Linked DNA regions of Mus musculus: regions 1 and 2 are each reported to be linked to region 3. The links are microRNA targets in miRTarBase. Many come from high-throughput screens and were not tested one by one. Region 3 holds a microRNA gene; each other region holds the end of a gene's coding sequence.
The links. The annotated mature microRNA mmu-miR-1949 reads CUAUACCAGGAUGUCAGCAUAGUU and lies in region 3 at 2,687-2,710, shown strand. An mRNA with a match to its seed (bases 2 to 7 or 8) in the 3' UTR can be bound and repressed. Matches are read on the target gene's strand: a 7mer-m8 pairs with bases 2 to 8, a 7mer-A1 pairs with bases 2 to 7 and ends in A, and an 8mer does both.

Region 1: miRTarBase lists Slc38a1 as a target of mmu-miR-1949. The part of its 3' UTR that is shown has no 7-base or 8-base seed match.
Region 2: the mRNA of Coa5 is a reported target of mmu-miR-1949. Seed matches in the 3' UTR shown: 7mer-m8 at 2,941-2,947.

Annotation. Positions count from the first base shown.
Region 1 is chr15:96,572,946-96,577,044 of GRCm38, reverse strand. Slc38a1 (solute carrier family 38, member 1) reads left to right here. Exons shown (of 16, transcript NM_001166458.1): 16 at 233-4,099. The coding sequence ends at 334. Among named protein-coding and RNA genes, the nearest start is that of Gm32457, 6.8 kb to the left of the region's middle.
Region 2 is chr1:37,416,889-37,420,987 of GRCm38, reverse strand. It overlaps Coa5 (cytochrome C oxidase assembly factor 5), which reads left to right. Exons shown (of 3, transcript NM_198006.4): 3 at 361-3,903. The coding sequence ends at 402. Among named protein-coding and RNA genes, the nearest start is that of Coa5, 11 kb to the left of the region's middle.
Region 3 is chr18:35,551,926-35,556,024 of GRCm38, forward strand. Mir1949 (microRNA 1949) reads left to right here and starts at 2,642; the gene lies at 2,642-2,711. It overlaps Snhg4 (small nucleolar RNA host gene 4), which reads left to right and starts at 1,485. Exons shown (of 4, transcript NR_038073.1): 1 at 1,485-1,544; 2 at 2,502-2,536.

The sequences.
Region 1 (4,099 bases), not on the chromosome of region 3:
CGTGCTGTCTGCCCCTTGTGTGGGATGACATGCACCCAGTTTTAGAAGAAAGTCTTGAAAGTTCAGCCACGATCATAACGAACTTCAAATACCAAATAACACTATGGAGGAGGGTGGAGGTTTCGATTCTTTCCTGGTGCGTGTGCGCGCGCGCGCGGTGTGGGGGTAAGAGTTGGGGGTGGGTGGAGTGATGTTGGCCATGTTGGAAATAACCCATGTCTCCTTGCTGCAGGCGGCCCTTTTCTTGGGCTTGGGGGTGTTGTTCTCCTTGATCAGCATCCCTCTGGTCATCTACGACTGGGCTTGCTCCTCTGGCACCGACGAAGGCCACTGAAGCCCGCAGCCACACCCAGCATCCGCCCACACCCATCCAGCCCCCATCAGCAGCCCACCGCCACTTCTTTTGCAAGTTTACAGAAACAGAAACGCACAGGGTTCCTCTCGGGTTGCCACACAGAGACTCACTGCTTCTAGAAGGACCCGCGTCCTCTCGGGACCTACACTTTGGGACCGTGGATTTCTGCTTCTCCAGATTTCGTGCCGCCATCTTGTCCAGCCCTTCCCACAGTTCTCCTCCCGTCTCCTCATTGTTGTGGCTTCTCTCTCTCTCCCTCTCAGAACTATGGAAACACGATCAACAGTTGTCTTCACTTGTTAGATACCCAGCTCCTGAAATCGTTTTCCTAACTGACGCTCCGCTCACGCTGTCTGCATCTTTTTAGAAGAAGAGAAAATAATCTTGAATTGTATATATTTATTTTGCTTTACAGAAAAAAAATAAGGTTTCAGAAAAAAAAAAAGGTTTCATAAATAATTTGCCTATTTTGGTTAACATAGCACACAGGGATAATCCTTTTGAGAGACAGGTTGCGTGCCATGGCTGCATCTGAGCATGCCCAATATTTGAGGCAGCTCTGATCACCCGACATGGACTGTCCGAGGGCTGCTGGTACTCCATCCTGCTCCCATGTGGAGCGATTCCCTGGGAGGCTTGGGCACGGCGCCTCTGTATATATATATTAATTATATATTAAAACAAACACTCCGGAGATCTCAGGAACAATGGTTTGTTTCCCTCTTGGCATCTGGCATCACAGTTACTCTAGGCTGAGTCACCTGCCTGAGGTCCCTTGGTTCCCATGATGACAAATGAGACTGCCCAAATGCCTAAGGACGTACTCCTTAGCCAGACCACCTTCAGCCCACACCCGTATTGTTGAAGGGGGAAATGATTTGTTAGTTTATAAGCCCGGCAGCATCGAGTCATGTCCACCAGCTTTCTGCAACAGAGATGAACATGTACCTAAGGACGGCCTGGGATAGGTCAGCCTGTTTTATACTGGGTACTTTACTTTAATGGAGTCTTTGAAAGACTTGTTTTATATCTATAAATCTAGGTTACTACAAATAGGAGATTTTTGTACCTTAAATAAGCCTCATTTCTAGTCTCCATCAACTCTCCATCCAGTCCTGAAAGTAAGTCTGCCCCGAGAGAGGACCGCTGAAGTCACTGTGTGTCCCCTCTTGCCTCAGCTGGGGACGGCAGGAGGACCCTTCCTGCCTGTGATTGTTTTTTCCCTTTTGTCCCATTATGCCTGTCCCATGTGACCCAGGCAAGAGGGCAGAGTTGCCCATCCTCTCGCCAGTCCCTCCTAAGGGGAGCAGAGGGGAAACTTCAAGGAGACTGAAAACTGTTTCAGAGATGGCAGCTCAGCATGCCGTAATGATGGGGATATCTGTGGATGCCCATAGCTAAGCTACAGTAGGTGAGGCGCGCGCGCGCACGGTGACCGCTCTCTGCAAAAGGCCTGAATTGCAGCCAGTTGTATCCTGGTTGAAAGTCTCAGATCCAAATACTCACTGAGCACAGATTTCTCATCTGGGGGTGAGTAGAAGCTAACAGAGGAGGCCCAGACACTTAGCTATAGACGCTATACCTCCCGTCTGACACCCCCCAGAGGTTTTTCAGGAATCTCACGAGAGTCACGCAGAGATGTCCCTTACCACACTGAAGTCCCCGCAGACAGGGTTAGGCATCAAAGTACCTGCCACCATGCTCCTGGGGAAGAAAGAAAATCTGTTTTCTGCATTGCTTCGCTTGTTCTCATACTGCTCCAGAGTTCTGTCCTCCTCGTTCAGGCAGCTGACCACAGGTCCTAGACAGGAAAAAGGGTAAAAACCCACAGCCGCCTCTACCCTTTGCCCTAACGCCTCCCATGTCACAAGAAATGACCACCTTTGTAGCTCTGTTTGTACTGTTTAAAAAATACATCAGTTTAGTTTGCAAGCTGCACCCCCCCCCCTTGCTGGTGTCCCCCTTATCCTGTAACAGTTCAGTTTTACATTTGCAAAGTGAATCCAAAAACGCACTAACTCTGGGATGTGTTGCGATTTTTGTTTGTTTGTTTGGACCTCTGGATTTTGTGTTGGTAAAACTAATGTATTATTTGCAGCATATTTATTTGCAGGAAGCACATTGCTGTTGATCTCTGTGATATGTGGGTTTCTTTTTTTTTTTAAACCCTCTTTGTGTACCTGAGTTTGTTTGAATATAAGGGATCTTACTGTCATTTGTTAGGTACCACTGAGTAATTCCATAGTTTCTGTGGTAATTCACTGTAGAGTGGACTGTTCTCGCTCTCGTTCAGAATAACTGGCAGCCAAAACATTACCTGTATCACAGATGTTAAGTAGCACTCAACAGCACAGTCAAATGTAACAGGTACTTTTCTGCTAAATTAGTAGACTCAAGCATAGTAGGCCTTCGCCGAGGGAAACCGAGTTTCCCTTCAGCACACAGGCTCTCCACACTGTTGACCCAGGGCCAGTTTCATACTTTGGGTTTAGCACTGTTCTCTGGTTCTTGTAACACAGAATACTGTAGATTCCTAGATTAGTGTTGCTTGTTAGAAGTAGAGTTTGCAGAGTGTGTGCAGGTAAGAAAACCTACTCTTTTAGGCCTGGACTAGGCCTGGTCACAGGGAGACCATATTCCAAAGCTCTGTAACCCGGAATGGATTTTTCTTCATTGGATTAGATGTGGGGGTTAGGCCCCCAGGCAGCTGGAAAAGAATGTGGAGCTGTAATGGAGTGACAGGACTGTGGAAGAGCCAAGTTCCCAGAGAGACTGGAGGTGGGGTATGTTGGAATCACTAGGAATACCCCCACTGCATCTCTGCCACGGGTCACCTGCTGGGTAGTGGGGTCAGGGCTCCACCACAGTGGCCTGTAGCAAAGCCCCCCCCCCCAAGACTAGAGAGGCTAAGTTCAAAACCCTGAGTGTAGGTGGTGGTCAAAGAAGAGGAGTTCTTAGGGCTCCCCTCCTTGCCTGCAGTTTTAACTTTATAGCTCTCCCAGGTACCAGCTTTGGGGCCAGCACACGGCACTCTCATTGTCTCCCGTGCTGGTAACCATGGCTTCACTGCTTGGTGATCAGGTGAAAAGTACAAAGGCTCTCGCTCCTTCCTGAGTACTTATGGACCCTGCTGAGGGACATAAGGGCGTCAGGGTGGCTTGCAGAGGACTAAGGTCTGTGGTGGGATGCCTCACTATAACAATAATTATGCCAAGCATTCAAGCCCTCAAGCTGGTGTTTCTCAAACTGTGCACCCTCAAGGCAGCAGCATGAACCTCATCTACAGACTTAACCAGCAAAGTGTCAGCCTCACCAGACTCAGTGGATAAATCGAGCTGTCCTCAGCAAGTCTCAGGTCTAGCCTCCAGGTGAGACCTGTGATTTCAAGCTTGGGTACCACTCTAAGCTTTCTCCGGTCAGCCCATCCTCGGAAGGCGATTGGTTCCCGGGGTGAGGAATGAGAGCCAGGTAGGGTAGGAAAGGACCCCAGCCAGTGTGTGCAGGTTCAGGAAAGGGAGGGCGTCGTGTGCAGCCCCTACTACCTGTGTTCTTTCCTGCTGCCAATGCATTGCAGAGTTGTGAGTGGATCTTGGGGGTGCTCACACTTTAGGGAACCCAGCCCGAGGCACTAGTCTTATTTTCTTGCAGCTGCGAAGATTCCAATTGAGGCTTTCAGAAAATGTAGGTAAATTTTTAAAAATGCCTTTTGTAAATGCGGTCCTGAAGGCACTGCTGAGTTTTCAG
Region 2 (4,099 bases), not on the chromosome of region 3:
CTAAAGAGACTGAGGCAGGAACACAATAGATTTAAGGCCTTCTTGGGCTATAGAGTAAATTCAAGGCCAGCCTGGACAGCTTCGTGAGACCTTATCAAAAAAGTATATGAAAAGGACAGAATGTAGCTCAGCGGTTGAGTGCCTGCCTAACATATGTATGGCCTTGGATTCAATGTATAGTATAGTATAGAAAAATAGATAATTTATGTATTTTTACAAAGGCTTACAGGTGCTTTACCTGGCTGTAGCATTAGCCACATGCTCAGCCGAGTTTCTTCTTTCATAAAGTTACTGACGACCCTTACCAGAGCTGTGCTTATTATTCCAGATGTGGTTAAATGCATGCATGCTTCTTTTCAGCTGGATGCCAGATCAAGATTCAGAGGGAGAAAAGGATATTGATAACATGCTGAACGCAAGATGAAAGTCACCCAGGATTTTCCATGGTCCTTAACAGAAAGGAACCAAACGGGAAGCACAGCAGCTGCCGCATCTCTTCCACCTCTGGGCCAGGTGTTCCTCCCAAGGACACCAGAGAAAATGGATCAGTGCTGTTTCTGAATGAGTCTGCTGGCTGAAGTCATTTATAGAAGATCCATGGGACTAAACAACTATGGGCTAAGAATGTGTCTGGGGAATTACCTAATGAAGAGATTATGTTCAAGGATGACTCTTCGATCAGATTACACAGTGTGTGAATTCAGGAGGCCATGATGAGATTGGCATAGATAGTGGCTCCTCCAACTCTTTTTTCTGTTTCTTGGTTTCAATTTTAGGCCAACCCCCTCCTCATAAAGGGGTGAAATCAGCCATAGACCACATCCTCAAGATATGGGTGGGCTCCAAAAAGGAGAGCATAGGCTGGCCCACAAGTCACACCCTGCTGAAGGACGCTGCTCCTTCCTGGGTCATATGCTTGGTGATCTTGGCTAGATCCTGGTCGCATGTACTGTGCTGACACCATGCACAATCACATAAGATAAGTTATGGGCCTCATCCCTAAACACTGGAATGCAGCAAATGGACACAACAGATGTTCACTCTAGATAACAAATGTCAATGACATGAAGTGGCTGGAAAAGTTTAGAATCCTTAACATATTATTTTGACCACTTAACACAGTAGAAAGCCATCAGGGCACTAAATCTTCAGTGTGATTCTTGCCATTGAACAGAGTGGCAATTCTATATTGTTCTGTAGTTCACTGGGGCTAAAGCAGTCAAGGACTGGAAGTTCACTTGCTATTTTAAAAGTTTTTGAAGCTATGAGGATTCCCTAGGGTGTCACTGAGGTCTGCTCTATGTACTGCCCCCACTGGGAGTAGGAGGTACTGCACCCTTGTGCTCTGTGTACTGCCCCCACTGGGAGTAGGAGGTACTGCACCCTTGTGCTCTGTGTACTGCCCCCACTGGGAGTGGGAGTATTGCACCCTTCAGTCCTGCCACCTATGTCCCAAGCTTGGTGTCTGTGTGCAGTGTGGAGGAGTGCACATTCTGCATGCTAGGAAGCTCGACCATTGAGCCACACCTTCCACTAGTGCTTCAGTTTCAACAGAGAGTGAAATGTGTTTGTATGAAATGCCTCCATTTGAGTAGATAGAGCTTTATTTGGAAAAAGTCACATGTCTCATAATTGGACTTTGACTTAGACAACCCCATGGAGTTTAGAGTGTTCGTGGAGCATGCTGCAGTCACCACTATCTACTTCCAGAACAGTCTCATCCTTTCCAGAAATGTAACCACTGGTCAGCACTCTGCCCTCTCCCTCTGGTCCAGGTCTATTAGATGAGTGGAACTATGTAGTCCTGTCTTTTCTGAGTCCTGTTACCAAATTCGACAGGTTTATTGGCATGTAGCATCAGTCTGCAGTGTAGTTCTGCTGAGTAGCATCCACAGTAGACAGACACTGTGTATTTCTCCATCGAGCAGATGAGCTCTGAGCTGTTTCTACTTTGGGGCTTTTGACTAATGCTATGAACGTTTCATTTAATACATGCCTTAGAGTTGAACTCCAAGGTCGTATCATGACGGCCTCAATTATATTTTCTACAGTGATTTTACCACATTTCATGCTGTCATGGGATCTAGGCTCCAGCACCCCTGACTTTCACAACTGCTCATATTGCTGACAGCCATTCTGCTTGTGATAAAGAGGCATCTATTGGGATCTTGGTTGCATTTCTCTAGTGTCTAATAACCTGAGCAGTTTTTCGTGTGTTCATTGGCTCTCTATGCTGCCTTTGCAGAGTGTTTTCTAGTCTGCAGTCTGGCTTCCAGTTGGGTTATCTGTTTATTTTCCTATAAGATTTTTTATTTACTGTTGGCTCAAGTCTCTTAAAGATTAATTGGCATTTTTTTCTCAACGTGTTTGTCCTTTTCAATCTCTTGCTACTCTATATAGCACAGTCTTTATTTTTATACATTCCCTTATGTGGCTTAGCCCAGGCTGGCCGGGAATCCCCAAAGCGCGAGCATTTTCAGCGCTGCACTTCCCAGAAAGCACACACCGCTGCTCTTGACTAGAGCAGTTTTCATATTGGAAAATGACAATGTCTTTTTTCTTTCACTCTAAGAAACCATTCCTAACCCAAACTTCCAGAAGCTTATAAATTTTACCTCTTACCTGTAGGCCTGTGCTCTCAAAATTATTTTACACACCTTTATTCATGACCATATTTGAAATTAGTTAAATAGAAATAATACATTTTAGTATGGCTAAGTATGTAGCTCCGTATATATTGTGTTCAGCACATTCACAGTGCAGTACAGTACAGTCTGCCTGCCGCACTGTTCTGCATCCACCTCAGGAAATGCAAGTGTGCCCATCTGAGGACTCCCAGCCACTGCCAGGTCGCCCGCCCTGCCCTGTCCTTGGCATACTCTCTCCTCATGGTAACCACCATTCTCTTTCCTGTTTCTGAATTTGAGTACCCTAAGTGCCTGGTATATGTGGACTCTTTGTTGTGTGCATGCACTTGTGTGTGTGTGTGTGTGTGTGTGTGTGAGAGAGAGAGAGAGAGTGTGTGTGTGTGTGTGTGTGCCTCCAGCGCGGAATACCATGAAGGTTCATATCATATATCGGTTTCCTTCCTTTGTAAGGACAAATGGTATTGTAGTATATGTTGTATGCATATTGTATGTATCTTGTTACCTACTCATCCAGCCGTGGGTACCTCGGTTGTTCCCACCCTGGAGCTCCTGACTATGCTGTGAACGTGTATATACAAATACCCCTAGGACCCGCTTTCAGTCTTAACATACATGTAGCAGATTGTATGTCATAGGGTACTTCTGTTTTTATTAGTAGGCATTGCCATAGTTTCCATATCAGCCACACTATTCTATGTTCTGTCCGCAGTGCACAGAGATTAGAACTGCCTATGTCCTTGTGACTTGTATGCCATTCTAGAAGTCGTTAAGATCCACCAGTGCTTCTGCTTCCTAGTTCCCTGACTGCTGGTGTGTTCTAGATGCTTGGTGGCTTTCTTTATATAGCGTTTGAAGAAATTGTTTTAGGTCTCCTCTGCCCGTTAATAGTTGACTCTGGTTGAATTTTTGGTCATCACATCTACAAAAGCATTGATTCCAAGGGAGCTGACTGTAGCTTGCCCTGGGAATTTTAGTTTTAGTTCTTAGCTTTGCCCTTTGATGCATTTTGAGTTAATCTTTGTGTGTGGTGGAAGCTCTGACTTTCTACTCTCCACATGTGCATATCTAGCTTTGCACAATGCCCTTTGGAGGGAAAACATGGCGCCATGCATGGTGGGGCCGGTTTTGAGCCCAGTCTCTCCTGACTCTGTCTGCCTTCATGCCAACGCCACTGCTTTGATTACTGGAGAATTACTATCAAAATTTGAAATCAGAAAGTGTTTGTTCTAAAATAAAAATTTGAATCTGAAAACATCTTTGTTCTGTTTCAAGATTATTTGGGGTATAACTCTTTGAGAATCTGTATTTCAGGATATACATTTTGTCTATCTCTAAAAACACAAAAGTGCTGTTGGCATTTGAATAGGGACTGCATTAACCTCCTGAGCACCTGGGTGCATTGACATCTGAACGTGATTAACTCCTCAATCAATAAGACACTTACTGGTGTC
Region 3 (4,099 bases):
GCACCAGGTGATTGGTCTCTTTCTCCCCAAAGACCTTCACATTTCCCTATGGTCAACTCCTTCCCGCCTCTTCTCTGAAGTCACTCATATGCATGTGCTTGCACACTCTACCTGCATCTTTCCCTCTTATGAACTCTGCAGGTAGTCCTGACTTCTTTACCTTGTGGGTTTGGAAGAGAAAATAGCAAACTGTATGAGGTGGTCATGTACTTCCTCCTTTAGCAGAGCTCTGCAGGACAATTACCCAGCCAATCTGTCAGGTTGAACAGGTCTCATTTTATGAATATGCTGACAGCTGGATTGATTATGACACAGCCCCTGCCTTCCAGTCCAGCACAGACCATGTGACCTTTTAAATTACTGTATTTATGTAAGCCTTTCCCTAGCCAGGGGCAGGATCCAAGGCCATCAAACCTGGGGACAAGGACTGGGATTGCTACTTCTCTGGTAGTTTTTTGGTTCCATAGCCGAGGGTCTTGTCGGAATCAATTTGGAGCACCAAGTGTTTTCAAAGGGGTATGCTAGGGTTGTAATGCACAGGAACACCCCCACCCCCTTTCACTATGAAGGAACTGAGGAAATAGATAATAAATCATGTTGGCAGATGGCAAGGACAGTGGCTGATTCCAGGAGGCTTGCTTGACCATTATTGACAGGTGTCATAATCAACAGCCTCGGCTGCGAGTCAGAAAGCAATATCTGAAGGAGTTACAAAATAGATCCAGGAATTGCGATTGGTGGGCCTTGCTCTTATGGGCCCTGGGCAGCATCAACAGGACAACAGGACAATTGTTCAACAGGATAGAAGCATAATCACTACAGGGCAAAGGCAGCAACGTTAGTGTTCAGAAGAAATCCTGGTAACAGAGAAGTGTATACTTAGATCCAGGATATGGCCTTCTTTAGCTAGCTGTGTCACTGAAGCAGCCCAAATCTGCCAGAGAAAGCCAGTCTTAGCTGCTGCCACTCAGTTAAGGGTTTTCAATGAAGGACGTCAAGGCTGTGGTCCGCAGGGTTAGACTACAGCATTGACCGGCCTAATCTAACTAACATCCAGAAAAGACCCAGAGCACATAACCAAGCGACCTGCATGTGTGGGAGTTCCATTAACCAACTAACAACGCAGATGATGAAAGCCAGAAAGATCTGCACGTGGAGGTGCAAAATCGTGGGCTAGATCTGCAGAAACCGCGACCGCTAGCACTAGGTAGGCAGTAGGTCTGGCTCCCATTAGGACACAAGGGGCTTTAAATTTAGCAGCTGCAAACCCAGGACTCATATACTTAAGGAACCCGATGGGAGCTCAGGGAATGTAGCCTTTGTGAGGAAACTAGCCAATTCTCACACCCAGGTCTGTTCTTATAGGGATGTCGCTGTCCTCCCTGGTCAGCCTTGTGTGTTTCTAGTCCCGCCTCTCTTGGGCGGGACTCATCGCTCCGCCCTGCAACCGCCCCAGGGCGGGGCTCCCGCCGGCTCCCGGCTGCCCTTTCCACCGCGGCCTCTGCCGAGGTTGGTGTGTCCTGCGGAGCTCCGAGCACGTGCGGGTGAGTGAGGTCCCAAGGAGCAAGGGGTCTGGAGGTTTTACTAGCCCAGGCGAGAAGCGGGGGCGAGAAGGTTTCTGCCTGGGCAGGAAAAGGAATTGGGTTTTTTTTTTTTTAAATTTTTTATCTCCGGTCTTGGAGGTCATCTTAAAGGGAATAGCCCGAAGAGTCACCGCCAGTGAGGTACAGTACCCCTATCCAGCTAGGAAGTCACCTGGAATCTGGCTCCTTTAAGCGTTTCCGGAGCCCCAGACAAGGACCGAGAAAGGTTTCAGTGGAACACGTGTCCGGGGAGAACCAGATCTGCTTCAGCCCACGCCCTGAAGGGGCTTTTAGACCTAAACCATGAGTCCTGTATTCCTTTTCCTGTTCCATTAAATTGGTCAGAATTGGTTAGGGGTGAAGTTTGGACTTGGATAACTTGCCCTTAGATATGTTAAAATGATATGCAAACCTCAAGCACAAGCTCCCTCACACTACATCTACATTCAATTACTATTCGAAGTGTTAACTTTTATTGTCTTTAAAAATGTCCCGTATTTAAGCCTGTTGTCTAGATTTAGTCAGCCCCCACCCCCCATCTTTACTAAAGTGTCATTTTTAAAAGTGGTTCTCTTAAGTGCAGGATGGCTGGTTCTGGAGGCAGTCTTACTGTTTTGGCTTCCTACAAGTTAAGATTACAGGAATCAGCCACCAGAGCAGTGCACTGTGGTCCAATCTACCTGATGTACAGGGGTAATGGCTAATGCCGTTCTACAAATAAGAACTCCAGGGAGTGGACTTAGCTAGTGGAATGGTTATTTGGGGGTGGAGCTCCCAAAGTCACACTGTTTCTCTACTCTTGTTTCTTTGACTCAGCCCAACAAAGTGAAGGGGGTTTGAGGGCTGGAGATGGTTTTTTAACTTAATTGCACAGGTGTCGACAGGCTGACTCTAATCTGGGATGTTTTGATTTCATAGTGGCCAGCTGCCAGTTTGAGGCGATGTCTGCCCTGGTAAGTACAGTTCGGCTAGTTCCGGTTTGCCCCAGCTGTAGGCAGCTACCTAGGTTTCCTTGTACCTAGGCAAGTGTTACACTGCTGGGAGAACAGCAGCCAATAGCTGGTTGGCATTCTGGGCCTGGTTCATGCCACCTCTGTTGTTAACTATACCAGGATGTCAGCATAGTTGCTTACCCAGGAAGAGAAGCGCAAGCTCTGCAGGAAGAAACCTGAAGTCCAGATCTTCCGACATGGAGGTTACTTAAATCACAACTTGGAAATGGAACTGAGTAAAAGCCACTGAGGGAAATAAATAGGAAAAAAAAAAGTCAAGATTTAGTGCCTGTAAATGGTTGGGAGCGGACCTGAGGCAGTGGAGGGAGTTACTAGACTGCACGTTCACTAAAAATAGGATGTTTCCTCGCTCCACAATAATAAAAGCTAAGTCATGATCCCCTTTAGTGAGCTCCCTGTTGGGAATATTGAGTCTGGTGTTGTAGTATGCAGGGCCCCTTCAGACCGTCCAGGCAACCTAGATGCCCAATCTCTATTACTATTCTGCTCTCTAGCTCGTCAATAAATTTATGCATATTAATTGACCATGGGGTTCTGGGAACTAGCTTAGGTCAAACAGTACAATGAGCAGTTAGGCTCCCCCTTTTCTGTTATTCATGATGATTTTCTAAGAAATGCCTCAATTTTAGGCAAGTAGTGATCACTGAATGAATCTGGTGTTTAATAGAGCCAACATAGTTAGCTTTTGTGAGAGCATCCTGGTTTCCACAGGGAGACATAACCTTTACCTCCCTCATATCCTGAAGGGTTGGTGGCAGCCCCCACCTGTGTCCTTCCGTTTTCCCTGTGGACATGGGTGCTAACCAGGCTGCCTTACTTAACACCTACCTCGGCGACCCAACAGGACGCCCCGGGACTTGAGTAGCTCAGGGATAGTTGTAGCTGAGCTATACACAGGCTTCCTTAACCAGTTCCAGAAGTCTCTTACCTGACCCCCTGAATGTTTTTGGGGGTGAAAGCGCTTGCCAGGCCCACCAAGCACCCTAGGTTGAGCATCTGCTGACATTCCCATCAGTAGCCTCTACATTGCTCACCTTAGCTTCATCATTGCCCTCCCATGTACATCAATATCCCTTTTGCTCCTCAGTGTAGTACCTAACGCCCCCACCCCCTAACCAGTCAAGTTCTTACAGGAAAGTTACTATCCCATATTACCCACTCCTAGTTCTACCACTCTATCTACCTGCTCTTTGATTGAGGCCCATAATTACTTTACTACTGTTCCTTAATGGCACCAGCTTAGCCCTAAAAATACCCTCCAATAGGTCACTGAGCCTGCCATACCTTTGCGCATCCTTCTGATGCACTAGTGTTAACATAACTTTCCAGGTTAACATAACTCTTGCCTTCCTGTCCATCAAATTCTTTTAAAAAAAAATTTCAGCCAGGGCGATACAGAGAAACCCTGTCTCAAAAAGCCAAAAAAAAAAAAATTATGTATGTATTATACTTATTTTCTGTGAGTACATTGTTGCTGTCTTCAGACATACCAGGAGAGGGCAT